Callithrix jacchus: one gene and its partners. The main gene of each other region encodes a partner of the protein of the gene in region 3 in a complex. Links are inferred from orthologs where the notes say so. Each region holds a gene or a part of one and is shown on either strand. Other genes may lie near its edges.

Region 1 (7,930 bases), on a different chromosome or scaffold from region 3:
ACAAAAAATCAGCTGGGCACGGTGGCACGTGCCAGTAATCCCAGCTATTCAGGAGGCTGAGGCAGGAGAATTGCCTGAACCCAGGAGGCGAAGGTTGCAGTGAGCCGAGATTGCGCCACTGCACTCCAGCCTGGGTAACAAGAGCAAAACTCCATCTCAAAAAAAAAAAAAAAAAAAAAAGAAAAGAAACTGGCAGAGTATGAAATGATACGATTGAGATTTTCTTGAAAATAATCTGGTTGGAGGAGGAAAATGGGGATAGAGGAAACAAGATTGGTCACTGACTTATTAAATGTTTCTACTGCATGTTTGAAATTTTCTGTAAGTTACACACACACATACATACACTCACTCTCTTCAAAATACCCATTTTCTGGCAAAATGCCCACCTTCTGAGTAATTTCACATTTCTGTAAAACAGCTCCTGTTGGCCAGGTGCGGTGGCTCACACCTGTAATCCCAGCACTTTGGGAGGCTGAGGCGGGCAGATCATGAGATCAGGAGATCAAGACAATCTTGGCCAACATGGTGAAACCCCGTTTCTACTAAAAATACAAAAATTAGCTGGGCATGGTGGCACACACCTGTAGTCCCAGCTGCTCAGGGGGCTGAGGCAAGAGAATTGCTTGAACCAGGGAGGCAAAGGTTGCAGTAAGTCGAGAACGCGCCACTGCACTCCAGCCTAGCAACAGAGTCAGACTCCACCTCAAAAAAAAAAAAATTACAGATCCTGTTCTTCAGAAGTTGTTTCCAACACTTGAAAAATGTCCTTATCTGGTAGATTTAAACTATTTATTAGAATAGGATCCTAACAGAGGGTGAACAAGTAGGATGAGACAGACTCAACTAAGTCTGTTCCTTAGGATCGCTCTCTCTTTAAATGTGTTGGGCTCTTGCCACATTGCCCAGGCTGGCTTCAAACTCCTAGGTTCAAGCAATCCTCTTGCCTCAGCCTCTTCATGTTCTTTTAAAAGAAATGCTGTAAGGTTACAGAAGCAAATGCCTGAGATGGCTGAATATAGCTATAAGTTTCTCCAAATGCCGCACTCTTTGAATAAGTGTAGCTTCTAACATGCTGGGAGACTAGTAAAATAGAGTAAAAGTTATGTTGTCTTTGCTTCCAGTAGGTACTCACTGCCTTCTCAGTCAACACATCCTACATATCATATCAGCAATGGGGAAGGAGTCATATATGCCAAGTGAACAATTCTTTCCATTGCCTCTTCACAACTATCAGGATGGTAAAAAAGGTAAATAAAGCCAGGGTGATGGAAAAGTCTGCTCCCAAGTTCTCATCTTTTTAACTGGGAAAAAGTATAGCCTTTTCCCTCCATATATATTAACAGTTGTACAGTTTCACCTAAGTCTACTTCTGCCACTGCCAGATAGCTATTTGAAAAGTCAAGAACAGCAAAATACTAGGTCTACTAAATGATAATAAAATGCTGGAGCAAATTATAATAACAAAGACATCAGTTTTCCTTTCATTTCCCAGGACATTACAAATGACAGTAAACCTGTATTTTTAAAGGTTAAGTACTTTTGACATAAACAGAAGACCTCATGGAAACTAAGCCTTGTCTGCAGCTCCTCACAAAAAGTACAAAAACATAAGAATTCAGAAATTTGGTGATATGGCCAGGTGTGGCGGCTCATGCCTATAACCCCAGCTCTCTGGGAGGCCTAAGAGGATAGATCACTTGAGCGCAAAAGTTCAAGACCAGCTTGGGCAACATCGGGAAACCCTATCTCTACCAAAAACACAAAAATTAGCCAGTCTCATAACCCCTCGAAATAAATAGGCCAGGCACAGTGGCTCACATCTGTAATCCCAGCACTTTGAAGGTGAAGGCGGGCAGATCACTTTGAGCTCAGGAATCTGAGACGAGCCTATGCAACACAGCGAAACCTTGACTCTACAAAAAAAAAAAAAAAGCAAAAATTAGCTGGGCACCGTGGCACACACCTGTAATCCCAGCTACTAGGAAGGCTGAGGTTGGAAAATCACTTCAACCTGGGAGGCGGAGGTTGCAGTGAGCAGAGATCAAGCCACTGCACTCCCGCCTGGGCAACAGAGTAAGACCTTGTCTCAAAGGATTAGATAGATAGACAGACACAGATAGATAGATAGATGCAATTCGCTTAAATTAAAAAAAAAAAAGAAATTTAGGACTAAAAGAGCAATTGGACAAGATGATCTTTGTGGTCCCTTATAACTTCTAAATCTCCAAACTTGTTGCAAGTCATCAGAATTATATTCATCAGGATCAACACCACTTAGATTCCTTAATCCCAGGGAGGTTATTCCATGACATTAGTCTAGACCATTCCACTAAAACTTCATTTTCTGCAACTTCTTTCCTAATATCTCTAATCTTTTCTCTGCATTTGCTAATTTATTCCCAAATTTCATAATAGACGTCTTAACTGTTACTTCCTATATGCACGGAAAAAAAATGAAAGGATCAATATGAACCCAAGACTCAAAAGTGAAAATTGCTACAATGTAGGGGGGTAACTACTATCTTTAATGAGGTTGGTAACACAGTCTAGTCCCATGTTTCTACAACATGTAAATAAAGCATCTAAGTGCTTTCAAACAATAATCAGTCGATTTATTAACTTCAATGTGTGCAAAGCTTACAACGTTCTTGAACCTAGGCTGTCAATAAGTTGGACATCCACACATCCAACCTCATCTGACTGGGGAGAAATGGGAAAAACTCAAAGCAACAGCCCTATTAAGTTCATAGTGATTATCTAGCTTAAATTTTCAGCGGAGGCAAAGGATTTGTAGCGTTCTTCATTAGTGCTTATAAATTGGGAGAAAAAACTTCACTAAATTAAGCAAAACCACAAAAGAAAATTTTCCATTTCACACAAAACTTTATCTGCACAAACATAACAAGATTTTGAGAACCCAGTAAGAAACTTAACATTCTGGACTTGAGACCTGTAACTACTGTTAAAAAAAGAAACAAAAAAACAAAACACTCGCAGAAGTAAATGTCACTTAATGCTGTATAATGAGCCCTTCGGAGTTTTCAAAATCAAACGACTGAGGTAAAAATTATTATCTACAAGGCATAGACAAAACAACAACAAAAACCACAGGACAGTCATCTACTACAACCACCAAACCTTCAATATTTCCTTAGGTGTCATACATATGTCTATGAGTAACTGTCATCTTTCCCATTTTTCGGGTCACGGTGTGGACTACCCAGGTTTCTGTCCACTAACTGTGGGCTCAGTGTTCAGTTCATCCTTTTTATCACAGAGTGGGGGAAGGAAGAGCCAAAAGTTATTTCACTTTACTGTTTTAGCTGTCCAGTGTGGGGGGAAAAAAGGTTGAAATTCAACTACAGTATTTCACTCATTTAATCCCTCGAACAAACTGTATAAGTAGACGTCAGGGTCACAAATGAGTTACTGGCCCTGGGATGACCTGAGCTCGAAAAAGCAGGCGAGTTTCAAAACTTTCCATATGGATAAGCTACGGGGCTCAATTCCCAACTTCCCGGTCTCATTCAGGCGAGAGGCTCGGGACCGCGAAGCTTGCACGTGGGCCGACCAGGCCGATGCTGTCACTTTTCGTCGCCAGCCGGCAGGTGAGATAAAGGCCGGAGCGCAGACCCTCAACCGGCGAGAGAGTCCGGAAGGCCACGCTGCCAGTCTTCGGCCCACATGGCCGGCAAGCGGAGGTAAAGAGAGCATCGCCGGGCCCTAGGCTCGCGGCTGGATCCACAGCCCGCAGGCCCGGGCGGCGCCCCAGGGCCCATAGTCGGCCCCCCAGGGCCCATAGTCGGCCAGCGACAGCGTCAAACCGCTCCTGCGCTCCCCGCTGCCCTAGCCCGCACCCACCTTGACGTCCTCGTCTTCGTCCTCGCCTTCCCAGCGGTCCCCGCCGGCAGTGCCGCCGCCCCCAACCTTCCGCACTGGGTCTTCCACGGAGAATGCGTCCGCGTCTACGGAAGAGAGCAAGCCGCGTTAGTGCCTGCCACAGCGTGGGGTCGGCAACAGCCCGGGCGGGCCCTGCCCCCGGAACTTCTCCTCACCCCAGGAGTCGGAGTCCCCCCCGGCCGCCGCCGCCGCCGCCGCCGCCATCTCGAGCCGGGTGTGAGCGTGTATGAGGCGGAGAGCTAGGGAGGACTTAGCGCCGCGGAGGTGAGTCACTGGGTTTGCTCTCGTTGGCCAGCGCGAAGCAGGCTGGGACCGTGGCTGACCGGGCGCCGAGCTGAGGCCACGCCCCCTCAGGAGGCTGCGGCGACGCGCGCAGGCAAGAAGGGGGCGTAGACCGCGGTCGGCGGCGCGGAGGGGCGGATGGAGGGGTGCAGGAAGGGGCGGAGGGAAGGCCGCAGGGAGGAGCGCAAGGAGGAGCGGAGAGAGGGCGCAGGGGGCATAGGAATTCTGGGTACGACGTGCAGGTCCCTACGACGCAGGTTAGTACTGGACTTCGTGGAGCGGGGAGAAAGGTTGCAGACTCTCGGCCCCGAGCAGGAAACCTAAGTGCCGGGAAGTTAATAGAGCGGTCCTTTGCCTGGCGCCTGAACCTCGCCAGTCTTCGTCGCCCCTCCCCTGCCAACGCCTACCCCGCTCAGACCCGAGGGTGCGCCGTCCCTCTCGTCAGTGTGATCACCGTCCATGGCCGCCGGCGAATACCCATGCCGCACTCAGAAGAGGGCTCTGAGGCCATGCCCGCCGGTGGGGGCTGTGGCCGGACTTCCGAGACAATACGGCGGGCGTCGGACGTAGATGCAGGAACTAGAGGGGAGAGCCGCATGTCCCTGGCATGTTTGCCTTGCGTTAGTAATGAAGGGATCGAAGAGAGTCTCAGTCTTCCAGGCTTTTCCCTTCCTGTGAGCCCCTTTGAAGCCAGCACATTTTTTTTCTTTCGCAGAACAATTTCGGACCTCCTGAGTCTACGCTAGGTATAAGGTGTATCTTTGTCCTCAGTCAAGTAGCAAAGATAGACATGTGAATAAATTTCGACACTGTGATTGCAACAGAAAGCAGCATTATGAGGTTGAATGTAAAAGGATAACATTAGCGGCGGCAGGGGCCGGGAGATGAGGGGAGGCTTCCTGAGGTAGGCGCTAGCGAAACTGAAGTTGGAGAGAGCAAGTGACATTTGCTCAAGTGCGTGTCCTATAGAAAAAACTCCAGTGGTCCCTGACCTGACTGACTGGCGCAGTCGGAGATAAACGGAACGGGTACACTAACCAGAAAGGGCAAGATGGGCTAAACTCCGCCCTTGGGCCACACTGGGCTCCCCCGCAGAAATTTAAAGGGCTAGCCATTTCATGGATTTTGTTTTGTTGTATTCGCAATTTATTTTCAAATATGTAATACAGGAACTTAGTACAACATTCGTGTGATGAAAAGGTAGATACGGGGGCAGGATGCGGTGCGTCACGCCTGTAATCCCAGCACTTCTGGAGGCTGAGGCGAGCAGATCACTTGAGGTCGGAGTTCCAGACCAACCTGACCAATATGGTGAAACCCCGTCTCTACTAAAAATACCAAAATTGCCGGGCGCGGTGGCTCAAGCCTATAATCCCAGCACTTTGGGAGGCCGAGGCGGGTGGATCACGAGGTCAAAAGATCGAGACCATCATGGTCAACAAGGTGAAACCCCATCTCTACTAAAAATACAAAAATTTAGCTGGGCATGGTGGTGTGTACCTGTAATCCCAGCTACTCAGGAGGCTGAGGCAGGAGAATTGCCTGAACCCAGAAGGCGGAGGTTGCGGTGAGCCAAGATCGCGCCATTGCACGCCATCCTGGGTAACAAAAGCGAAACTCCGTCTCAAAAAAAAAAAAACCAACAAGGTACAATTATCAGCCGCTTCACTCTGTTCTTTCTAGCTGTAACCATTGTTCCCCTTTTCTGGTGTATCTTTTCAGAGTCTACAAATAAACATTTTATAAAGATGGTCCTTCGGCCGGGCCCAGTGTCTCATACCTGTAATCCCAGCACTTCAGGAGGCCGAAGCGGGTGGATCACCTGAGGTCAGGAGTTTGAGACCAGCCTGGCCAATGGGGAGAAAACCTGTCTCTACTAAAAATACAAAAGTTACCCCTGTAGGGCTGTTGGGCCCCACAGGGTCGTGGTGACCCTTATGCTGTGCTGAGGTGCAGGATCCAAGAAGCAAAGAGACAGGACACTGGTGAAGAGCATCTGGACTTTGGGGGCCATGCCACCTGTGAGTGGAGATCAGCGGAGGTCCCAAATGCCCAGAAGCATCTGTATTTATTAGGTACAAGCAGAGGGCAGGGTCATGAGTGAGGTCATCATCTATAGGCTTAGTAATAGGGCATACATAATCACATGAGTCACAAGTGAGGGGGCCACCCCATTATGTCACTTGGGCAGAGGGGTGGGCTGTGAGAAGTAGGGGGCCTCTACAGTAGTAGAGGGTCGTGTACAGAAAAGGGGTCCACCCCCATTAGGTCACCAAGGCAAGGAGGTGGGCTGTGTGTGACAGGTGTCATGCACAACATTTCTTTTCTGGGGGCTGGAGACCTCAAAGGATTTCTAATAGAAGGATACTGTAAGCCAATGCAGTGGGAGCTGACAGACTTGTGCTCTTCTCTTAAGATATTTATGGGAGGATGATTTGAGCTAGCACAGAAGTGAGAAAAGACTGACAGGGTGTACAGCTGCCATGACTGGTCACACCAGAGGGGTTCTCCCTCAGTTATTTTCTCAGTCCTGAGGCCTACTTTCCACAGGAACTGGATGCAAGGTACTACAACTCCTTTATCAGGAGGAGAGGCTCTTGCTCCAAGCCTGCCATACAATGTATGCCGTTTCAGGCAGGGACGCCACCCCCTGGGTCTTTGGTTCTTGTCCTGGTCTGGCTGTTTTCCCATGTACTGCTTCTGTTATGTGACTGCTCTAGGCATTCCTCCTACTACAAACTACTATATGGTTATATAGAAGGATTCTATAAATCAGTACTAAATGTCAGTACAGCTCTGACTACAATACCTATATGAGTATAGAAAGATTATATAGGTGGGCGTGGTGGCTCACCCCTGTAATCCTAGCACTTTGGGAGGCTGAGGTGCGTGGATCACCTGAGGTCAGGAGTTCAAGACCAGCCTGGCCATGATGGTGAAACCCCATCTTTTCTTGTTAAAAAATTAAATTAAAAAAAAAAAGAAAGAAAAGAAAGATTATATAGAACTAAGTATGCTAGATATAAGTATTAAGTATGATTATATAAGCTAGGTATATGTAAGCAGTAAGTTATACCTCAGGTACTAATTCTAGAAACTAATATATGATTATATATAAAGGATTATATAAAGGAAATAGCTGAGTAATAACTCTATAAACTAAGATATTCTTCAGACACTAACTGTGCTTGGGGTCTGGACAATTCTTCCTTGGTGCGCATAGGGGGTGTTACCCACAACCCTGGCATGGTGGCATGTGCCTGCAGCCTAAAAAAAAAAAATGTGAGAGGCCATGATCTACAGGCAGCCATTAAAAAGGTGGATTGGAGTCAGGCACAGTGGCTTATATGTGTAACCATGGCACTCTGGGAGACAGAACGGGGAGGATCGCTTAAGCCCAGGAGTTCAAGACCAGCCTGGTCAACATGGGGAGACCCCCATCTCTACAAAAAAAAAAAATAGCGAGGCGTAGTAGTGTGCACCTGTGGTCCTGTGGTCCCAGCTACTCAGGAGGCTGAGGTAGTGGAGGTTGCCCACGTTCTGGCCACTGCACTCCAGCCTGGGCATCAAGGTGACATGACCAAAAAAAAAGTGAACTGGAAGGACGCAAGAAAGAAGGCAAGAAAAGGATGGAATTTAAGTCCCTAGGGACACAATCTATCTTACTCACAATTGTAACTCCAATATTTGGCATAGTGCCTAATACTTAAGTATTTTATGAATTAATTAAATGAGAACAAAAGCC
Region 2 (7,130 bases), on a different chromosome or scaffold from region 3:
GTACATGGTGAGGGCAATGGCCAGCAGCGCATGCATCTGCTCATTCTGCTTGTTAATCTGGGGATGAAGTGGAGAGTGGTAATGGGTCAAGTGAGACGGACTTCTTAAGGTCCCCAATGCCAATGTGGCCTCACCGGCCTCTGCACAGATCTTTGATTTACTCAGCTGTCTCATATCAGCCACTAAACTTCCCCAACATCTCTTCCAGTCTTATTTCTAGATCTACTGAACTTCCATCCTAGCTCCAAATCCTCCTTAGCCATCTTCTGGATTCCTTACTAGTACCTCTTAGTGTCTCCAGTTTGCCCCACACATCACTAGCAGGTCAGTCCTTTTACACCAGTTAGGATCAAGTTACCCAAAACGTTTGATGCAACCTTGATGCCTACATGTGCACGTGCCACGCAACAACGTTTTAGTCAACCACGGGCCAAGGGCCACATATAGGATGCTGACCCTACAAGATCATAATGCCGTACTTTTATTGTATCTTTTCTGTTTACATACACAAATATAAGTCCCAGCTACTCAGGAGGCTGAGGCTGGATCATCACTTGAACCCAGGAGGTGGAGGTTACAGTGAGCTGAGATCACGCCACTGTGCTCCAGCCTGAGCAACAGAAAGAGAATTCGTCTCAAAAATATATGTATCACTTTGGGAAAAAAAAAAAGAAAAATTATCTGGTGTGGTTGTATGTGGCTGTAGCCCCAGCTACTTGGAGGGCCGAGGTAGGAGGATCACCTGATCCCAGGAGGTTGAGGCTGAAGTGAGCTGTGACTGCGCCACTGCACTCCAGGTGGGTGATCCATTGGTAGGCACAATCGTATAGAGTGCTCTACAGCCTTAACTCCTGGCTTAATTAAAACTGTATTTTGGATGGTCTTTACCAAGAATGGTTGGCATAGATGCCAAGGAGTCAGCCGAGTAGAAAGGCCACTAGTGGCAGGCAGAGTGCCCCTTACCATCTCATACTTATATGTGGTCCTCTGGAACATGCTCTTGGTCCTCTGGATATAGAGGAGGATGTTGGCAAAGACCCGGATGGCATCCTGGTAGCGACGCATCATCAAATATGCAAATCCAACATAATAGTACGTGGTGACCTGGCACTCTGGAACACGGGAATACATACTCTGCAGAAGGAGATGGAACAAACATCCATGAGTGCCAATTCATCCTGGACAGAACCAGAGGCAGAAACACCAAGAGAAAAGCTTTCCCCGCAGAGGCCCTGAACTACCCAGAGGAAGCTCTGGAGTCCCAGAGTTTGAGAATGGATCTTCCTATTCACAAATTAAGTTGTATGTTTTGAGGAATCCATTTTCTTAGCTGTAACAAGAAGGTTCTGGATGAGGAATCCATAAAATCTCTTTGAGCTCTAAAATGCTATACCTCTCAGTTTTGTTGTTTTTCCTTGCTTTTTCAAGTAAGTCCTATAAAGGAACAGACAGTTAAGACAGAAACACATACATGCACATGAGCCCACCACCAAATAGTAAGTATCTGTAATACTGTTCTGTGATAGGAAGAACACAACAGCTAATCAGTGAACATACTATCTAAGAATTAAATTTTTTCTTTATTCTTTTTTTGAGAAAGAGTCTTGCTTTATCACTTAGGCTGCAGTGCAATGGAGCAATCTCAGCTCATCGCAACCTCTGCCTCCTGGGTTCAAGTGATTCTCCTACCTCAGCCTCCTGAGTAGCTGGGATTACAGGTGCCTGCCACCAAGCCCAGCTAATTTTTTTTGTATTTTTAGTAGAGACAGAGTTTTGCCATGTTGGCTAGGCTGGTCTCGAGCTCCTGACCTCAAGTGATCCACGTGCCTCAGCCTCCCAAAGTGCTGGGATTAAGGGCGTGAGAAGCCACACCCAGTCTTCCTAATTCAAAGATCAGCAAAATGTGAAGAGTAAAAAGCTGCCACTATCATTCCATTTTGAAAACAGAATAGGGCCGGGTGGCTCAAGCCTGTAATCCCAGCACTTTGGGAGGCCAAGGCGGGTGGATCATGAGGTCAACAGATCAAGACCATCCTGGTTAAAATGGTGAAACCCCGTCTCTACTAAAGATACAAAAAATTAGCTGGGCATGGTGGCGCGTGCCTGTAATCCCAGCTACTCAGGAGGCTGAGGCAAGGAGAATTGCCTGAACCCAGGAGGCGGAGGTTGTGGTGAGCCGAGATCGCGCCATTGCACTCCAGCCTGGGTAACAAGAGTGAAACTCCATCTCAAAAAAAAAAAAACAGAATAAAAAACTGTCATTTACTACCGATATCGTCCAGGTACAGCTTTTTACCACTCATTTGCCCAGTTGTAGTCTCAATTTTTTTCTTTTTTTGAGACAAAGTGTCACTCTGTCACCCAGGCTGGAGTACAGTAGCACGATCTCAGCTCACCGCAACCTCCACCTTCTGGGTTCAAGTGATTCTCATGCCTCAGCCTCCAGAGTCGCTGAGATTACAAGTGCCCGCCACCATACCCAGCTAATTTTCTGTATTTTTAGTAGAGACCGGGTTTCACCATGTTTGACGGGCTAGGCTCAAATACCTGACCTCATGATTCGCCTGCCTCAGCCTCCCAAAGTGCTGGGATTACAGGCAAGAGCCACTGGACCCGGCCTAACTTTTGCATTTTTTAGTAGAAACTGAGTTTCACCATGTTGGACAGGCTGGTCTCCAGCTCCTGACCTTGTGATCTGCCCGCCTTGGCCTTCCAAAGTGTTGGAATTACAGGCATGAGCCACCATGCTCAGCTTAGTCTCAACTTTCAATGGCCTGAGGGAAGAGTCCTCTCCTCTCCTAGAAATCTGTCCTAAGAGAGCAGAGTGGTTCTCTAGAAATAGACATTCTGGCTCCGACAAGAGGGGCCAGAGGCAGTACGCATCACCTTTTTGTTCAGTTCGATGTTCTCCAGCACCTTGATGGCCTGGTAGTAATCCCCCAACAGGGAGTGCAGGCGGAGAAGCCCCACCAGGCTGAAGTAACCAAGCATCTTGTAGAGGGAGTGCCGCCCATACTCCCCAGCCACACTCTCGGGGTCACCTGAAAGAGACAGGACACCGTGAATACTCTGGTAGGAGGAAAGTAAAGGAAGGCAGACCTGACCTATGAATGTTACTCAGCAGATATCTCAGCAGCTGCCAGCCTTGAAAGCTTCCCTCGGTTGGGAATAACTTCAAAGGAATACCAAGAAACAGCAAAACCAACCTTATGCTACTTAAATTTACCAATAGTTGCCTTCAGGGTGGCAGTTCATTTTGCTTTTTATTTTTTATTTTTGGTCCCAACACATGAGAAGGCCCCCCTCCTCAGTAACATATACCCACCAAGACCCCTCCCTTCAGGTGTACACAAGGGCAAAGCTATTTTCCTAATAACACTAAGATGCTATTAGCCCTTCCCACTGAGTTGACATCTGCATGATGCAATATCAGCTAGGTAAAACTACTTTCAACTTAAGCACAAATCAGACAGTGACACCAAATTGTACCAATAGTCATTATACTGTTCCTTGCTATGCACTGGCACTAGAAGAACTTGTCCTTAGCCAGGCATGGTGGCTTGCGCCTGTAATCCCAGCTACTTGGGAGGCTGAGGTGGGAGGATGTACTTAGCCCAGGTACCACATCTGAATAACCAGAGTTTGTACTTTTTGGAGACAGAGAGCTATAAAAGGGCTATTGCATTCTGGCCTGGGTGACAGAGAGAGACCCTGTTCAAAAAAGAAAAAAAAAAAAAAAAGAGAGAGAAAAAGAAAAAAATCCTTTTTTCATGGAGTACCATTTTCACTTGAAAGAACAACTGATAAGAGCTGAGCACAGCTCACACCTGTAATCCCAGCACTTTGGGAAGTCGAGGCCAGTGGATCACTTGAGGTCTGGAGTTTGAGACCAGCCTGGCCAACATGGTGAAGCCCCGTCTCTACTAAAACTATGAATATTAGCCGGGTGTGGTGGTGCATGCCGATAGTCCCAGCTACTGAAGAGGGTGAGGCAGGAGAATCGCTCGAACCCAGGAAGCAGAGGTTGCAGTGAGCAGAGATTGTGCCACTGCACCACTCAAGCCTGAGCAAGACTCCATCTCAAAAAAAAGAGATAACTGATACCAACTCTGGCAGACATTTTCACAAAAATAAAAAATGAAGTAAACTTGTCACACCTCAATGAAAAGAACTGACAGTGTTTGCTAACAATAAAAAAATTCAAAGGTTGAGCTCAGTGGCTCACTCCTATAATCCCATGAGTTCGAGATCAGCCTGGGAAACAAAGTGAGAACTTATTTCTACTAAAAAAAAAAAAAATCAGCCAGGTATGGTGGTGCACACCTGTGGTCCACACTTCAGCCTGGATGACAGAGTAAGACCTCATCTAAAAATAAAAAAAATTCAAGCTTTTAAGCAAAAATGGAATTTTGTAAAACTCTTGGGCCGGGCGCGGTGGCTCATGCCTATAATCCCAGCACTTTGGGAGGCCGAGGTGGGTGGATCATGAGGTCAAGAGATCGAGACCATCCTGGTCAACATGGTGAAACCCCGTCTCTACTAAAAACACAAAAAATTAGCTGGGCATGGTGGCTCGTGCCTGTAATCTCAGCTACTCAGGAGGCTGAGGTGGGAGAATTGCCTGAACCCAGGAGGCGGAGGTTGCGGTGAGCCGAGATCGCGCCACTGCACTCCAGCCTGGGTAAGGAGCGAAACTCCGTCTCAAAAACAAAACAAAACAAAAAAACAACTCTTATCTGCCACTACAAGCTCTACAGCTTATGAATAAATGTTCAGCTGATATCAGTGGCAAAGTAACAAATGTGACTTTTTAAAAAGATGTAATAAAATGTGTCAACATTTGGAAGATCTTTGTAACTCAGTGATCCAGTATTTTTTTAAAGAATCACACAAATCCCAGCACTTCGGGAGGTTGTGGCAGGCAGATCACTTGAGCACAGGAATTCGAGACTAGCCTGACCAGTGTGTGAAACCTTGTCTCTACTAAAAATATAAAAATCAGCCGGGCATGGTGATGCATGCCTGTAATCCCAGCTACCCGGGAGGATGAGGCAGCGACACCAAATTGTCAAGAATCACTTGAGCCCAGGAGATGGAGGTTGCAATGAGCTGAGATCATGCCACTGCACTCTGCCTGGCTGAAAGAGCAGACTCTGTCTCAGAGGGAAAAAAAAAACCACACGCGGACGACACGGATTTAAGAAACTCATTCAAATTATAGGAGTAATCAACAACGTTAATATAACAAAGGAAAGCCAGGCAGGGTGGCTCGCGCCTGTAATCCCAGGAACTTTGGGAAGCAGAGGGGGCAGATCACGAGGTCAAGAGATGGAGACCATACTGAACCAACATCGTGAAACCCCATCTCTGCTGAAAAAATACAAAAACGAGCTGGGAGTGGCGGCGTGTGCCTGTATTCCCAGTTACTCGGGAGGCTGAGGCAGGAGAATCACTTAAACCCAGGACGTGGAGATGGCAGAGAGTGGAGATCATGCCACTGCACTCCAGCTTGATGACAGAGTGAGACTCCATCTCAAATATATATACATATATGTATATGTAACGAAGGAAAAGTTCACTAACACAGCCTCAGATTCCTCACTGCACCTAATGTGTATGAAACTGCCACTGGTTATTCCAAAGTAGTACAGGGTGAGTATTCTATAAATGCTTGTGACCAGAAGCCTTTTGGATTTTGCATTTTTTAATACCTGCATATGCCTATCTTTTTTTTTTTTTCAGACAGAGTCTCACTCTGTCACCCAGGCTGGAGTGTAGTAGTGCGACTGGCTCACTGAAACCTCCGCCTCCTGGGTTCAAGCTATTCTCCTGCCTCAGCCTCCCGAGTAGCTGGGATTATAGGCACCCGCCACCACACCCAGCTAATTTTTTATATTTTTAGTAAAGATGGGGTTTCACCATGTTGGCCAGGCTGTTCTTGAACTCCTGACCTCATGTGCTCCGCCTGCCTCAGCCTCCAAAGTGTTGGGATTACAAGCGTGAGCTTTCTGTGCTTCAAACCAAAGTGCACACTGCAACAGATTGAATGCAGAAGCAGACATGAGAGGCCAGGTATTTTGCATGAAGCCAGCCACAGAGAGATCTACAAAAATGTCGCTCTTTACTGAAAAAAAAATTTTTTTTGAGACAGTCTTGGTGTTGTCCTGGGTTGGAGTGCAATGGTGCAATCTTGGCTCACTGCAACCTCCACCTCCCAGGTTCCAGCAATTCTTCCTCAATCTCCCAAGCAGCTGGAATTACAGGCACGAGTCACCACACCTGGCTAATTTTTATATTTTTTAAGTAGAGACAGGGTTTTGCCACGTTGGCCAGGCTGGTCTTGAACTCCTGACCTTGTGATCCGCCTTCCTCAGACTCCCAAAGTCCTCAGGCTAGGCGTGAGCCAGCATGACTGGCCGAAAAAAAAAATTTTTTTTTTGAGATGGAGTCTTGTTCTGTTGCCAGGCTGGAGTGCAGTGGCATGATCTCGGCTAACTGCAACCTCCGCCTCCCTGGTTTCAAGTGATTCTCCTGCCTCAGCCTCCTGAGTAGCTGGGATTACAAGCACATGCCGCCATGCCTAATTTTTATATTTTTAGTAGAGATGGGGTTTTACCACGTTGGCCAGGATGGTCTCAAACTCCTGACCTTATGATCCTCCCGCCTCAGACTCCCAAAGTGTTGGGATTACAGGCATGAGCCATCGGGCCCAGTCCCCCATTTTTTTTTTAATATACATTTTGGGGTTCTCAATATTTTAACAGGCTAAAATGGGCTCTGACACTAACACGTGTGAGAAGTGCTTATCTAAACAAAAGCGCTGCAGACACAGTAGAAATGTTTACAAATGCAAATCTCAATGTGCTGGTTCAGTTTTTTGGCCAACAGACTCCCAAGCCCCACAGCCCCCAGCATGAACACTCTGCTGCTGTTCGTACTCAAGCACCTAGGAAGAGTCAACAGCCCGTTGCCTAAGACGTGGTGACTCGCCTGCTCTACCTGCAGTATCTATTCCTTTGGAACAGATGGCAAGCAGCTGGAAATTCATAGGTAGCGGCTGTCAGCCTGCTGTGCTCACCTCCGCTTGTGTATACCTCCAACTGTCGGTTGATGTTGGATTTGTCTACTAG
Region 3 (7,837 bases):
CAGCCTCATCTTTTCCATGACTATGTATATCACCCCCCTACCCCCACTCCACCAAGAAGCAGGAATTCCAGCTAGATTAGATGACTTGTACAGACACTCTCCACACTTTCACTCCTGCATGTGCCAAAGTGATGACATCTTTACTATTTTTTCTTTTTTTTTGAGAGAGTCTCGCTCTTGTTGCCCTGGCTAGAGTGCAATGGTGCGATCCCAGCTCACTGCAATCTCCACCTCCCGGGTTCAAATGATTCTCCTGCCTCAGCCTCTCGAGTAGCTTCGATTACAGGCATGCACCACCACACCCAGCTAAGTTTTATTTTTATTTTTATTTATTTATTTTTTAGTAGAGATGGGGTTTTACCATGTTGGTTAGGCTGGTCTTGAACTCCTGAGTTCAGGTGATCTGCCCACCTCGGCCTACCAAAGTGCTAAGATTACAGACATGAGGCACCGTGCCAGCTTATTTTTATATTTTCATTGTTTTTAAAGAGAAGTGAACATGGTCTGGTCCAGCTATTCCAGAATTTTTTTTTTCTTTTTTTTTAAGATGGGGTTTCGGCTGGGCACGGTGGCTCACGCCTATAATCCCAGCACTTTGGGAGGCTGAGGCGGGTGGATCACGAGGTCAAGAGATCAAGACCATCCTGGTCAACATGGTAAAACCCCGTCTCTACTAAAAATACAAAAATTAGCTGGGCATGGTGGAGCACGCCTGTAGTCCCAGCTACTCGGGAGGCTGAGGCAGGAGAATTGCCTGAACCCAGGAGGCGGAGGTTGCGGTGAGCCAAGATCACTCCACTGCACTCCAGCCTGGGTAACGAGAGCAAAACTCCGTCTCAAAAAAAAAGAAAAAGATGGGGTTTCACCATGTTGGTCAGGCTGGTCTTGAACTCCCAACCTCAGGTGATCTGCCTGCCTTGGTTTCCAAAGCGCTTGGATTACAGGGGTGAGCCACCATGCCTGGCCAGAATTTTTTTTTTTTAAAGCTTCTTGCAGAGCAGGGCTAACTCATAGGCAGCATGCCCAGAGTCAGCCTAAAAAAAAATTTTTTTTTTTTTAAGATGGAGTCTTGCTCTGTCGCCCAGGCTGGAGTGCAGTGTAAGTAGCACGATCTCATCTCACTGCAACCTCCACCTTCCGGGTTTGAGTGATTCTCCTGCCTCAGCCTCCTGAGTAGCTGGGATTACAGGTGCGCCCCATCACACCCAGCTAATTTTTCTATTAGTAGAGACAGGGTTTCACCATGTTGGCCAGGCTGGTCTTGAACTCCTGACCTGGTGATCCGCCCACCTCAGCCTCCCAAAGTGCTGGGATTATAGGCGTGAGCCACCGAACCTGGCTCATTTTTTTTTAATTTTGTATTTTTACTAGAGACGGGGTTTCTCCATGTTGGTCAGGCTGGTCTCGAACTCCCGACCTTAGGTGATCTGCCCGCCTCCACCTCCCAAAGTGCTGGGATTACAGGTGTGAGCTACCAAGCCCAGCTGTGATGACATCTTTTCTCATCCTTTAAGCCCAGCTCATATGATTTACCTTAGGAAACTTCCCAGGCTGCTCCCATCCCCACTCCAGGGAGTCAGTTGCCTGGCTCTGGCCTCCCATAGTAATCTATGCTTCCTCCATCATGGCGTATATCTTACCGTAAGGCTTCTTTTCTCATCTTTCTTATTATCTTGTCTCTTATTCCCTAGACTGAAAACTATCTATAGATTTCATCTGTTTTCCTAGGACCTGTTTACACTGTAGGTCCTCAATATTTGCTAAAAAAGTGAATGAACCCAGATTACCTGTTTCGCAGTCCCAGAGACGACAGCTGTTGTCAGCTGAGCCAGTGAGGACATGCTTGGTGTCCCCTGAAGAGTTGTTAAGAAGCGTGACAAAGTTCACCTGAGCCCTTGTCCTCTCATCTCCCTGTTCAGCCCGAAAGAGCCCTTCTTCCCCCCTTACCTCCTTATCCAGAACTGGAACTTGTCCTGAATGTTTCCTCAACCAGTGAAGAGTCCAGGGAGTAGGAGATATCATTCTGTAGGCCCTCAACAGCACCCCCAACTCCCAACTTCCAACTCAGCCTCTCCATTGCTGGCAGACCCTGGCAGCACGGATTCAGACCCAAAAGAAGGATACAGTCAGCGTCCACACACCACACAGCTCCAGTATGGCCCATGTAGGTGCCCAACCTCTCACCATTCACAGAGTACCATACATTGACGATCTGGAAAAGTCAAACACAGGATGATACATGTCCCAGTAAAGCAATGGCTTCCTATTTTGCCCCAAGAACCCTCAGCAGCCAAAACCAGGCTGATTCTGCCCTCTTCTCCTCATTTCTTGGGAAATAGCAGGAAGCTGGTAAAAAGACCAACTCCTGGATTCTCCTCCCTTCCTGAAGATAAGCACCAGAGAAGTCAGGCGCTTTGCAAAAGCATCCTCATAGCCACAGCTCTCCTGGAACTCCCAATGGCTCCAAAGAGTAAAAGGCCAAGTTGAGCTCCAGTCTAGAAAAACAGTATCTTTAAGTGGGAGCAGTTGGTAGTAGGGAAGACTGGGTTCCAGTGCCTGCTCTGCCACTGTTTCACTGTATGATCTCAAAAACAGTGCTTCTCTACTCTGAACTTCAGTTTTCTCATCTTGAAAATGGCCAGGACAATAATTTTTTCTTCAATAGGTAGCTGTGAGGCTCCAATAAAATAATGTCTAAGGAATTTAAAATGTAAGTGACTAACATTCATTAGGCACTGAAATGTATAGGTGCTCTGCCAAGCTCCTTTCATTATCTCATTTAATGCTAAAGACAATCCTGTAAGTATCCAGTTTTATAAAAAGGGAAACTGCAGGCTGGGCGCAGTGGCTCACACCTGTAATCCCAGCGCTTTGGGAGGCCGAGGCGGGTGGATCACGAGGTCAAGAGATCGAAACCATCCTGGTCAACATGGTGAAACCCCGTCTCTACTAAAAATACAAAAAATTAGCTGGGCATGGTGGCGCACGCCTGTAGTCCCAGCTACTCAGGAGAATTGCTTGAACCCAGGAGGCGGAGGTTGCGGTGAGCCGAGATCGCGCCATTGCACTCCAGCCTGGGTAAAAAGAGCGAAACTCTGTCTCAAAAAAAAAAAAAAAGGGAAACTGCAGTTTAGAAAGGTTAAGTAACATACTCAAAATCACACTGCTAGTAGTAGTAGATGTTGGAGGCAGGATTCACATCAGGTCTGTCTGACTTCAGAGTCCCCACTTTTAACCACTAGTTAACTTCCTCCATATGGAGGTGCCTCAAAAGGCAGTATCACAAGGGACTGTTTTGCATTGAGTAGCAGAATGGGATTGACTGAAAATGAGAGTAGAGACACCCTCAGTTAAATCCCCTGTGTCTGAATAACACATCCTGCACCTATCCTGGTTAAAAGGTTAGATCATCCCCTGAAAGGTCGCATCCCGTTCTCTGGGCAAGCTTGACCCTCATCCTCATCCCCTTTCCACAGTGGTCCCTGGCTTTTCTTGGGGTGCAGTGGCACGATCTCAGCTCACCAGGTTCAAGTGATCCACTCGTTTCAGACTTCGAAGTAGCTGAGCCCAGATGCTCGAGCCACCACATCAGGCTAATTTTTGTGTGTGTAGATATGGGTCCCACTATGTTGCTCAGGCTGGTCTCTAACTCCTGGGCTCAAGCGATCCTCCCCTCAGCCTCACAAAGTGTTGGGATTACAGGCGTGAGCCACTGCACTCGGCCAAACGAGTGCTCCCCCACTTTGTCCGGTACTCTCCCAACCTACCCCCGGGATGTCTTCTCCCTACATCTCAAAATGGGCCGTTTCTTTGATTCCCCCAATCGGCAAAACTGGCATGTCCACCCATCTTCCTAAGGAAGGTCCTGGCATAAGGAACTCGCCCCTTCCGGGCCCCCTCCCGAGCCCTCCTTTCAGCCGACGCTCACAGGGTCCTTGGCCACAGTAAAGAGAAGGTCTCCTTCGCGGTTATACTTAATCTGCGTAATGGACCGCTCATGGCCCTGCAGCAGGATCGGCTTCTGTGGGGACAAGACGGTAACGTCAGTGCCCAGAATTGGGTACCGGCCTCAGACCAGGACCCCCACTGCAGTATCCCCAACTCTGGAACTCACCATCCCGGCGATGACACGAAGGCCGCAACGTGAGTAGTACCGGAAAAGGCTTTGGAACCACTTCCGGATTGTGGGTCTCCGCCCCCTCGCTCCCGGAAGTAGAAGACAGCAGCGTTACCATGGCGGCGTCTCTGGGTAGGTAGCCGGCCCCGCCCCTTCATGGATTTCTCGACCCTCACTTCGAATTCATTTCCTGCTCCACGTCCCCCGCTCCAACCCCAATCCCTGCTACAACCCCAGAGCCGGACTCCTGGATTCATCTCCCCAGCCTCCCGGGGCCTTCCCTAGCCGCCAGTCGCAGCCGAAGCTAAGAGAGCGAAGGAGGGAAGTGGGGTCGGCTAGCTGGGGATAGGAAGCCTGGAGCGGGCGGAGCGGACGGGGCGGCCGTTTGGGGTGGGGATCAGGGTGACTCAGTCGTCTGCATTCAGGGCAGGTGCTGGCTCTGGTGCTGGTGGCCGCTCTGTGGGGTGGCACGCAGCCGCTGCTGAAGCGAGCCTCTGCAGGCCTGCAGCGGATTCATGAGCCGACCTGGGCCCGACAGTTGCTACAGGAGATGAAGACCCTCTTCTTGAATATTGAGGTGCGTCTGTGAAAGTCCCCTCTCAAAGGGGAGTTGCCGCCAAGAATTTGGTCTTTGGGGTCAAACAGGTCTGTGTCAGCCCCACTACTTACTAGAAACTCTCCAGAGTCACTTGTCCTTCAGTTTCATCATCTGTAAATGGCGATTATAATAATAAACATCTGATAGGGCAGTTGCGGGAATTAGGTGAGATACACAGAGCACTTAGCATTGGGCCTAGAACATAGTAAGTGCTCTATCTATGGCTACCATTGTTCATATTTTATTATTGTGATTCCTCCAGTTATGAAAGGCAACATTTGTGAGCCTTTCCAGAGGGAGGGCTTGGGGCTCAAATTGGCCCTGCAGGGGAGGAGTTCAGAGGAGGGAGGCTGTATATGGAGGACTTGGGGAAGGCTTCCTGGAGGGGCTGACATTGGTCTCAGGGCCTTGCAGGATAGGAACCAACAGAGGTGAGGGAGAGGGAAGTTTGAGCAGAGGCACAGAGTTCAGTCTGTTTCCCTCTTTGTCCTGGAAGGGTCCTCCTTAGAGGGCCTAATGTTCTCTGGGTCTTATAACCCTCACTCCCTCTAAGAAAAGGCATAGGCTAGAAGCTCAAAGAAGGCAGTGCTGCTCATTCAGGCCTTCACACTGATGCAGGTTTCTCCTCTTTCCAGTACCTGATGCCCTTTCTCCTCAACCAGTGTGGCTCTCTTCTCTATTACCTCACCTTGGCATCGACAGGTGGGTCCTGGCTTGGAACTGTTCTGCTTAGTGTTTGAGGCCACCTGGAAGAGTGATTTGTTGGGTGGAGCTTGAAACACCTCATTCCCATCAGTCAGAGAGGGCTGACTAGTCTTAGTTCCCTCCTAGTGTCCTCTTCTCTGAACAAGAAGGGCACAGTGGGCTGGTTCTGAGTATGTTGCTAGGCACTGGGGTTGGTTTGAAGCCTGGCAGTCTTGTGTGACAGCGGACGAAGAAGGAAGGTTCATTCTGCTGTGCCAAGTGCTGGCTTTCACACTCTTGGTTCCACTCTGTGCTACCTGCCTGACCATGAGCAAGTCCCTCATTTGAGCTTTGGTTTTTTGTTTGTTTTTGTTTTTTGAGACAGTGTCACTCTTGTGGACCAGGCTGGAGTGCAATGGCACTATCTCAGCTCACTGCAATCTCCGCCTCCCGGGTTCAAGTGATTCTCCTGCCTCAGCCTCCCAAGTAGCTGGGATTACAGGCATGCGCCACCATGCCCAGCTAATTTTGTAATTTTGTAGAGGTGGTTTTTTTTTTTTTTTCTTTTTGTATTTTTAGTAGTGCTGGGATTACAGGTGTGAGCCACCACACCCAGCCTGAGCTTTGGTTTTATACAGTTGGTTTCATAGGATTGTGAGGATTAAATTTAATCCCAGCACTTTGGGAGGCTGAGGTGGGAGGATCACAAGGTCAGGAGTTCAAGATCAGCCTGGCTAACATGGTGAAACCTATCTCTACTAAAAATTTTTTAAAAATAGCCAGGCGTCGTGGTGGTGCACCTGTGATCCCCACTACCAGGAAGCTGAGGCAGAAGAATCAGAAGAATCGTCTGAACCCAGGAGGTGGAGGTTGCAGTGAGCTAAGATCACGCCATTGCACTCCAGCCTGGGCGACAGAGCGAGACATCATCTTTTTTTCTCCTTTTTTTTTTCCTTTGTAACTTACTGGTTCTATCTCTAGAAAGACTTCATCTCAAAAAAAAAAAGAAATGAATGAATGAAAAACATCTAGGAGAGTGCCTGGCGCACAGGGCTCCATATACATAAATTTCCTTTATCTTAGAAAATGAAGTTGCAGTCCAGGCTTGGTGGCTTGGCCGGGCATGGTGGCTCATGCCTGTAATCCCAGCACTTTGGGAGGTCAAGGCAGGCAGATCATGAGTTCAGGAGATCAATACCATCCTGGCCAACATGGTGAAACCCCATCTCTACTAAAAAAATATATATATACAATATTAGCTGGGCATGGTGGTGCATGCCTGTAATCCCAGCTACTCGGAGGCCGAGGCAGGAGAATCGCTTGAACCCAGGAGGCGGAGCTTGCGGTGAGCTGAGATCACCGCAAGTGTACTACAGCCTGGACGACAAGAGCAAAACTCTTGTCTGAAAAAAAAAAAAAAAAGAATTTGAAAGCCTCTGGGCTCATGCATTCACTGCTGTGGAAAAATGCTGAACTCTTGGCCAGCTGACTACAAGTCAGCCATTCACCAAGTTTTAATCACATTACAATATTAGGATCTTTTTATTTCATCACCCTCTCTGCCTATATCCTTGAATATCCATCCTTTCTAATAACCAGAATAATAGTCACTATTTATGAAGCATCCACTTTAGCCAGGGACTATCCATGCATTATCACAGTTCATCTTACAACAACCCAACAAAAGAAATGGTATACTGCGATCACTATTTTACATGTGGGGAAACAAGGTAAGTGTTTGAATATCCTAACCAAGATTACAAGGGAAACTCAGATCTGCCTCACTCTGATGCCCTCACTCTCCCATTGCACCATGCTGCTTCCTTCCCTCATCTACTGCTGCAAACCAGACCTTAACAGCCATGACACTCCTTGTAAGGTATGTAAACTTAAGAAGGCAGCTCTGGGCAAGGCACAGTGGCTCAGGCCTGTAATTCCAGCACTTTGGGAGGCTCAGGTGGGCAGATAACCTGAGCCTAGGAGCCCAGCCTAAGTAACAACAACAAAAATACAAAAATTACCCGAGCTTGGTCGTCTGTGCCTGTAGTCCCAGCTGCTCAGGAGGCTGAGGTGGGAGGATCACTTGAGCTCAGGAGGTTGAGGCTGCAGTGAACAGTGACCTCACCACTGCACTTCCAGCCTGAATAACAGAGTGAGACCCTGTCTCAAAAACAACAAAAATGAAAAACAACAACAACAAAAACAACTCTTTGTAGGTGGGGTTGTTATATCAATTTCTTAGATGGGTAATGCCTCTATGCCGGGGTCTCCCAGGGGATGAGGAGCAGGACAGTTCCCTTCTCTGCCTCACAAAGGCAAGGCCTGGGAGTGCTGGGAAAGAGGGTGCTGAGGAGCCAGTGTGAGCATCTGGTCTGCAGTTGAGTCTTGTTACCATGGATAACTCAGCTGATTTGTCTGTTGGTCTTTTTTTATATGTA
Region 4 (6,461 bases), on a different chromosome or scaffold from region 3:
TTGAAAACTCCCCAGGTACACTTCTTTCTCTCCACTGCTTCTGAAACAGTTCAAGAAACCTTTTGCTTCCTTCCTGAGGGTCGATTCTTTTCATTAAAATTAGTTTCAGTGTTTTTTTGAGCTAGTTTTTTTTTTTTAAAAACAGAAACACACAAACACACACGTAACTTTAGAAATGCTGAGTTTTGGGCCGGGCTTGGTGACTCATGCCTGTAATCCCAGCACTTTGGGAGGCCTAGGTGGGTGGATCACCTGAGGTCAGGAGTTCAAGACCAGCCTGGTCAACATGGTGAAACCCCATCTCTACTAAACATACAAAAATTGGCTGGGTGTGGTGGTGAGCATCTGTAATCTCAGCTACTCAGGAGGCTGGGGCAGGAGAATCGCTCGAACCCAGGAGGGGGAGGTTGCAGTGAGCCGAGATCGCACCAGTGCACTCCAGCCTGGGTGACAGAGTGAAACTCTGTCTCAAAACAAAACACAAAACAAAAGAAATGCTGAGCTTTTTTTGAGACAACCTCTGTCACCCAGTCTGGAGAGCAGTGGTGTGATCTCGGTTCGCTGCAACCTACACCTCCGGGGTTCAAGTGATTCTATGGCCTCAGCCTCTCAAGTAGCTGGAATTACAAGCAGTTTTTTTTTTTTTTTTTTTTGAGCTGGAGTCTCACTCACTCTGTTGCCCAGGCTGGAGTACAGTAGCGCAATCTTGGTTTACTACAACCTCTGCCTCCCAGGTTCAAGCAATTCTCTTGCCTCAGTCTTTTGAGTAGCTAGGATTACAGGCACCTGCCACCACCCCTGGTTAACTATTTTGTATTTTTAGTAGAGATGGAGTTTCACATATTGGCCAGGCTGGTCTCGAACGCCTGACCTTGTGATCAGCCCCCTTCTGCCTCCTAAAGTATTGGGATTAAGGGCATGAGCCACAATGCCTGGCTGCCTGACTGATTTTTGTATTTTTAGTAGAGACGGAGTTTTGCTATGTTGCTCAGCCTGGTCTTAAACTCCTGACCTCAGGTGATCTGCCTGCCTCAGCCTCCCAAAGTATTGGGATTACAGGCAAGAGCCACTGCACCTGGCGTTTTTGTTTTTTTTTTTTTGGATAAAGGGTCTCCTTCTGTCACTCAGGCTGGAGTGTAGTGGTGTGATCATAGCTCGCTGCAGCCTTACTCCTGGGCTCAAACAATCCCACCTCAGTCTCCTGAGTAGCTGGGACCACAGGTGGAAGCACTATGACTAGCTAGTATTTTATTTTTTTGTAGAGACAGGCCCTGTTCTCCTTATGTTACCCAGGCTGGTCTCAAACTCCTGAGCTAAATTGATCCTTCTGCCTCAGCTTCCCAAAGTGCTGGGGATTAGAGGCTTGAGCCACCACGCCCAGCTGTTTCCCCACCTCTATAATTTAATGGTATTACTCCTGCCAGCAGTACAGTTCTGCATGAGGCTTAGCTACTACAGAAAGCTCAGCATAATACCTGACAGGGTAATTACTCCATAAAGTGTCCAGAACAGAACAGTGTCCACTATATAAAAGTTTACACATCCTGGCCAGGCACGGTGGCTCACGCCTGTAATCCCAGTATTTTGGGAGGCCAAGGTGGGTGAATTGCTTGAGGTCACGAAGTTTGAGACTACCCTGACCAATATGGTGAAACCCCGTTTCTACTAAAAATACAAAATTAGCCAGGCATGGGCGTGTGCTTGTAGTCCCAGCTACTCAGGAGACTGAGGCAGGAGAATTGCTTGAACCCGGGAGGTGGAGGTTGCAGTGAGCTGAGACCGTGCCACTGCACTCCAGCCTGGGCAAGAGCATGACACTCCACCTCAAGCAAACAAAAAATCAACTTACAAGCCATTACAATCATTATCCATGATTGGACATCCATCAAGCTCCCCGCAGCAGACCACCTCATCCATGCTCTGCTTCGCATTGTACTAGTGCTCTGCACTCCAGTTCCTCCAGCGAACTCTCCAAAAGCAACAGCAGGCTCTCGCACACGGCCAGCAGGCACTCCTGCTTGTGGAAATGGGCTTCTTATAACAAATGATGACACCCAGATTCTGAATTCCGGATGGAAATTGCGGGATCTCATCCGCACTCTGCCAGGAATCTTTGAAGAAAGGACTGGAAATTGTTACTGCAGGCATGCGATGAAGGAGAGACTAAACATGTATATTTTATTTCATCTGCTAAACGTCAGAGAGCAAGTTAGACAACATTCCACTACGCATCAAAGGCCATCGAAGTCTGGGTGGAAGGACAAACTCCAGCTCCACGTCACTGGTTTAAGTTTCTTCCTCTGAAAGACAAAAAATGTAAGAGAAATGAGCCAAGTTGTGGGATACGCCGTTCACTTTCCTTTGGTCACCAGCTGGTGGAGCAGGAGAGACAACTTTGAGGCTATATAACTAACCCGAAGAGGACCTTTTCCCTCTAGACCACCGGCTTCCATCAGGGACTTGCATCATCTTTCTCCACCTCTGCCGCAATCCGGCCACTTCTCTAAAACACCACTATCCTCCCCAACCACTTAATGTGATCTGAAGGCTCCGGAAGAAGCTCTTGGAGCCAAAGTGAATGCTTCTCCCTATGTAAGCCTTGGAATTCTCAGTTTTTATCAAGGTTAAAGATCACAATGGCCACAGAGCTTGCTCCCTCACTAGCTCACAGACCACTCTAGACCTCAGAAAGTGGGTTGCTGCACACCTTCTTCTTCCTCTTCCTCCTCCTCCTCTTCCTCCTCGTCTTCATCAGAGCTGAAGGTGCCATCGGGGAGGCTGTAGACGCGGATGACCTGTTTGTTGGGGTCCTTGAGGATGAGGTATTTGCCCTCCTCCAGCTTCATGCAGATGTCGATAACGCAGCGCAGGATGCCCCAGGCATTCTCCACGCTCAGGTTGATCTGGCTGGCAAACTCATTAGGCTTGAACTGCTGGGTACCCAGGATGACGTGGCGTGAGGAGTCTTTCACATGGTACCGAGACACATAACTGGGGGAAGGGATATCAGTGGTCAGAGCAAGGCGGCACAGAGACAGCAACACTTGGGCTCCAATGTCAATTAAGTGGTGATACCTGGTCCACTGCTATTTTCAAGGGAAATGGAAAACTCAGTCTCTGGTTCAGTTCTGGATTTCACTGACACCAGTGCCTAGTTCAGGACTCCACTCAGCATGCCTGTTGTTTGGCATTTGCCTCCTAACTGACCCCTCCATCTCTACCCAACCCCTGTGTCTATCTCTGCCAATCAGTTTTCCCAACCCCTGTGTCTATCTCTGCCAATCAGTTTTCCAGTACATGGGGAGGGGAGGGTCACCTCTCTACCCAGAGCCGTCCTTTCACAAGATCAGCTCCCAGCTCCTGCACAGCGATCTCACCCAAGCTTAAGGTACTCAGATCCAGCCAGCAAAGCACAGCAGGTCCACCGGGCCAACTTGTAGCTGTTGTTCTTCAGCTCCGTGGCAATGACGGCCCCTCGCTGAGAGTCCAGCTTCTGACGCCAGTCAACGCCGTTACAGTGCTGCAGGAGAGCCCCAGTTAGAGAAGCAGAAGCGAGCTCCGAATGCTCAAGGCGCTGGGACCTCCTCTGGCAGAGAAGGAACTCCCCTGTCTGCTTGCTTAGGAAGTGGGTAGGTACACACTAAACCAGGCTGTTATCATTTAAGAGACAAAGACCTGGTCCCTTCCCTTGCACAGCCTGTCACATAGCAGGCACTCAACAACTTACAATTCCTGTCTTCTAAAAGCTCACCTAGACAGGTAATGATGGACACACGGACATAGGCATGCACTTTAGAAGTGCCATATGAACAGCAGAGGTTTTACTCTGTGTTGCATAGTAAGGAAGGGCTTCACAGAGGATGTGTAACAGTGAGCCAAATGGAGAATATTGGCAAAAGTGCAGCTGCAGACAGGAGGCCCTGATCTGAGAGGCATGTTGGGATAGGAAAGATAGGTGGAGTCGGCCTTAGATGGGGGTGGCAGCCCGCAGAGGGTGCAAAGCTGAGCCTGACATTTTATACACACACACAGTAGAAAGGGACCCCAGAGAGATCCTCTTTTCTACCCATATCATTTAGACGTGGGAAATTGAACCCAGAGTGAAATGACTGGTCAAAGGTCACAGGACAGAGATTCCCAAACTTCCTTGGTTCATGGCAACCACAGGGCAAAAGAAATACTCAAGAATTCCTTTTATTTAGCTAGGTTCGAACCACATAGTAGTACTCTGACAAGACGTCTCTATGTTTCCCTAAAAAATTTAAAATATCCTGCAGCACCCCTGTGAGTTTGCTGTGGCAGTTTTTTGAGATGGGGTTTCACGATGTCACCTCAGCGCTATCCTCCCACCTCAGCCTCCCGAGTAGCTGGGACTGTAAGTGCATACCACTGCATGCAGCTTGCTGAAGCACTTTAGAGAGTCCTTCTACCAATCTGCACTGCTGATGAAGCTGTGTACTGGACAAATGATTGGCAGAGATAAATCAAATATAGAAGTTGGGTGGCGGTAGAGAGGTCAGTTAGGAGACAAATGCCAAACAGGCATGATGAATGGGGCCCTGAACTAGGGTGATGGTCAGTGAAATCCAGGACTGAGTCAGAAGACAGCAAAGCATTCTACTTTGCTAACACCGAAACAGAAGAATGTAAAAAAGGAGCTGGAGATGTTGGAGGCTCAGAGCTTAGGTAGGAGAAAGACAACGTTGATGGACAGCGGACCCAGAGGCAATGATGAGACTGAGGACAAATGGAAGGGGAAGGTGTTTTAGCAGAACAACAATGGGAAGTCTAATAAATTAGAGGAGATTTGAGAAATTATTTTCAACGAGTTTATAGTTGAAGCTTGTGGTGGGCAGAATTCTAAAATGACCCCCAGTGACCCTTGCCCTTACAGAATCTCCTCCCCTTGACTGTGGGCAGAACCTATGGCTAGGATCAAATATTACCCTCATGATTATGCTACCTTTTATGTCAAAAGGGATTGTGCAGATGTAAGGCCCCAAATCAGTTAACCTTAATATACACTACCTGGCTGGGCCTCACCTAACTCTATGAGATTACAGGCATGTGCCACCAAAGTCTGGCTAATTTTGTATTTTTGGTAGAGATGGGGTTTCTCCATGTTGGTCAGGCTGGTCTTGAACACCCGACCTCAAGTGACTGACCCGCCTTGGACTCCCAACGTGTTGTGATTATATGCATGAGCTATCACGCCTGGCCTGTATGAGTCTCTTAAATTTAGGTGTAAAGGTCAGACACAGAGAAAGCCAGAGACCTGAAGCACGAGAATGGGCTTGGAAGTGGCTTTTCTTCCAGAACCTTTAGATGAGAACTCAGTTTTCCTGATACTGTGATTTCTGCCTTGTTTGGATTTGTGTCCCCACCCAAATCTCTTATCAAACTGTAATCCCCAATGTTGGAGGAGAAGCATGGCAGGAGGGGACTGGATCACGGGGGCGGATTTCCCCCTTTGGTGCTGGTCTCGTGGTAGAGTTCTCGAGAGGTCTGGTTGTTTAAAAGTGTATAGCAACTTCCGCCTCTCTCTTTCTCCTGCCCTGGCCATGGTAGATGTGCCTGCCTCTCCTTTGCTTTCTGTCACCATGGCAAGTTCCTGAGGCCTCCACAGCCATGCTTCCGGTACAGCCTGCAGAACTGTGAGCCAATTCAACCTCTTTATAAATTACCCACTCTCAGGCATTTCTTTATAGCAGTGTGAGAATGGACTAATACAAGAACCAAGCACACAGCCCTATAAATTCTAGCCTATAAAACGTGAGCTAACAAATCGGCACTGTTAGATCACTAAGTTTCTGTTAATTTGTCATAGAGCAAAAGAAAATCAATACAAAGCTGTGTAACAAAGAGGTACTTATGGCAAAGGGAGCTGTACAGCTGACTCCACTGGGATCAAGGAGGGGTGCCAGCAAAGACAGCACGCGAAGGGAACAGAGAAACGGCTGAGACACGAGCAGCACAGTAACACGGAGGGCACAGTAACACGGAGGGCAAAGCGACACGGAACGACGACCCCGAATGCTGTGGGGAGCTCACCGGGAAAAGTACAAGAAAAGGCCACAGGCCCCAGAGCCAGGTCTCAACAAACCTTCCAGTGTACTCTGTCAACAGGTGATGGGGGGTAAGAAACCCCTGGGGATGAGACTCAGCAGCAGTCCATGCTACTCCCTTGGCTCTAAGACAGGCTGAACGGAATGGCCCCCTGCACTACATCTCAGAAAGACTTATCCAACACAGGCTGGGCCTTGGAGCTGCCCTTCCCAGAGTGCCCTTTAGAGCACCCAAGAGCACTGCCACCTACTTCAATTCTGATGTGGCACGTAAGGCTGGGTGACTTGAGACAGGATAACGGCCCTCCTACCATGGAGCAAGAGCATGAGGAGGGGGGAATGGAAAGAGGAGGAAAATTGAAGGAAGCATGTTTCTTTCAAGGTGCCCCTGAAGAG

Evidence for each region.
Region 1: EIF3I (region 3) and EIF3J share a complex: the UniProt entries of both Homo sapiens proteins name them as parts of the eukaryotic translation initiation factor 3 (eIF-3) complex. The link is inferred for Callithrix jacchus from reciprocal best matches to the Homo sapiens genes EIF3I and EIF3J.
Region 2: EIF3I (region 3) and EIF3L share a complex: the UniProt entries of both Homo sapiens proteins name them as parts of the eukaryotic translation initiation factor 3 (eIF-3) complex. The link is inferred for Callithrix jacchus from reciprocal best matches to the Homo sapiens genes EIF3I and EIF3L.
Region 4: EIF3I (region 3) and EIF3D share a complex: the UniProt entries of both Homo sapiens proteins name them as parts of the eukaryotic translation initiation factor 3 (eIF-3) complex. The link is inferred for Callithrix jacchus from reciprocal best matches to the Homo sapiens genes EIF3I and EIF3D.

What each region holds. Positions count from the first base shown.
Region 1 is NC_133509.1:32,259,870-32,267,799, reverse strand, and holds the start of EIF3J (eukaryotic translation initiation factor 3 subunit J), read right to left. Parts: upstream 4,197-7,930; 5' UTR 4,108-4,196; coding exon 4,059-4,107; intron 3,969-4,058; coding exon 3,865-3,968; intron 1-3,864. UniProt on the Homo sapiens protein: Component of the eukaryotic translation initiation factor 3 (eIF-3) complex, which is required for several steps in the initiation of protein synthesis.
Region 2 is NC_133502.1:208,877,055-208,884,184, reverse strand, and holds part of EIF3L (eukaryotic translation initiation factor 3 subunit L), read right to left. Parts: coding exon 7,079-7,130; intron 3,042-7,078; coding exon 2,887-3,041; intron 1,135-2,886; coding exon 964-1,134; intron 58-963; coding exon 1-57. UniProt on the Homo sapiens protein: Component of the eukaryotic translation initiation factor 3 (eIF-3) complex, which is required for several steps in the initiation of protein synthesis.
Region 3 is NC_133508.1:68,827,204-68,835,040, reverse strand, and holds the start of EIF3I (eukaryotic translation initiation factor 3 subunit I), read right to left. Parts: upstream 4,168-7,837; 5' UTR 4,118-4,167; coding exon 4,115-4,117; intron 4,022-4,114; coding exon 3,929-4,021; intron 2,213-3,928; coding exon 2,125-2,212; intron 1,854-2,124; coding exon 1,788-1,853; intron 1-1,787. Other genes in the region: TMEM234 (transmembrane protein 234), read left to right, coding at 4,234-4,249, 4,543-4,694, 5,351-5,417. UniProt on the Homo sapiens protein: Component of the eukaryotic translation initiation factor 3 (eIF-3) complex, which is required for several steps in the initiation of protein synthesis.
Region 4 is NC_133502.1:207,463,747-207,470,207, forward strand, and holds the end of EIF3D (eukaryotic translation initiation factor 3 subunit D), read right to left. Parts: intron 3,521-6,461; coding exon 3,378-3,520; intron 2,992-3,377; coding exon 2,708-2,991; intron 2,301-2,707; coding exon 2,287-2,300; 3' UTR 2,158-2,286; downstream 1-2,157. UniProt on the Homo sapiens protein: mRNA cap-binding component of the eukaryotic translation initiation factor 3 (eIF-3) complex, a complex required for several steps in the initiation of protein synthesis of a specialized repertoire of mRNAs.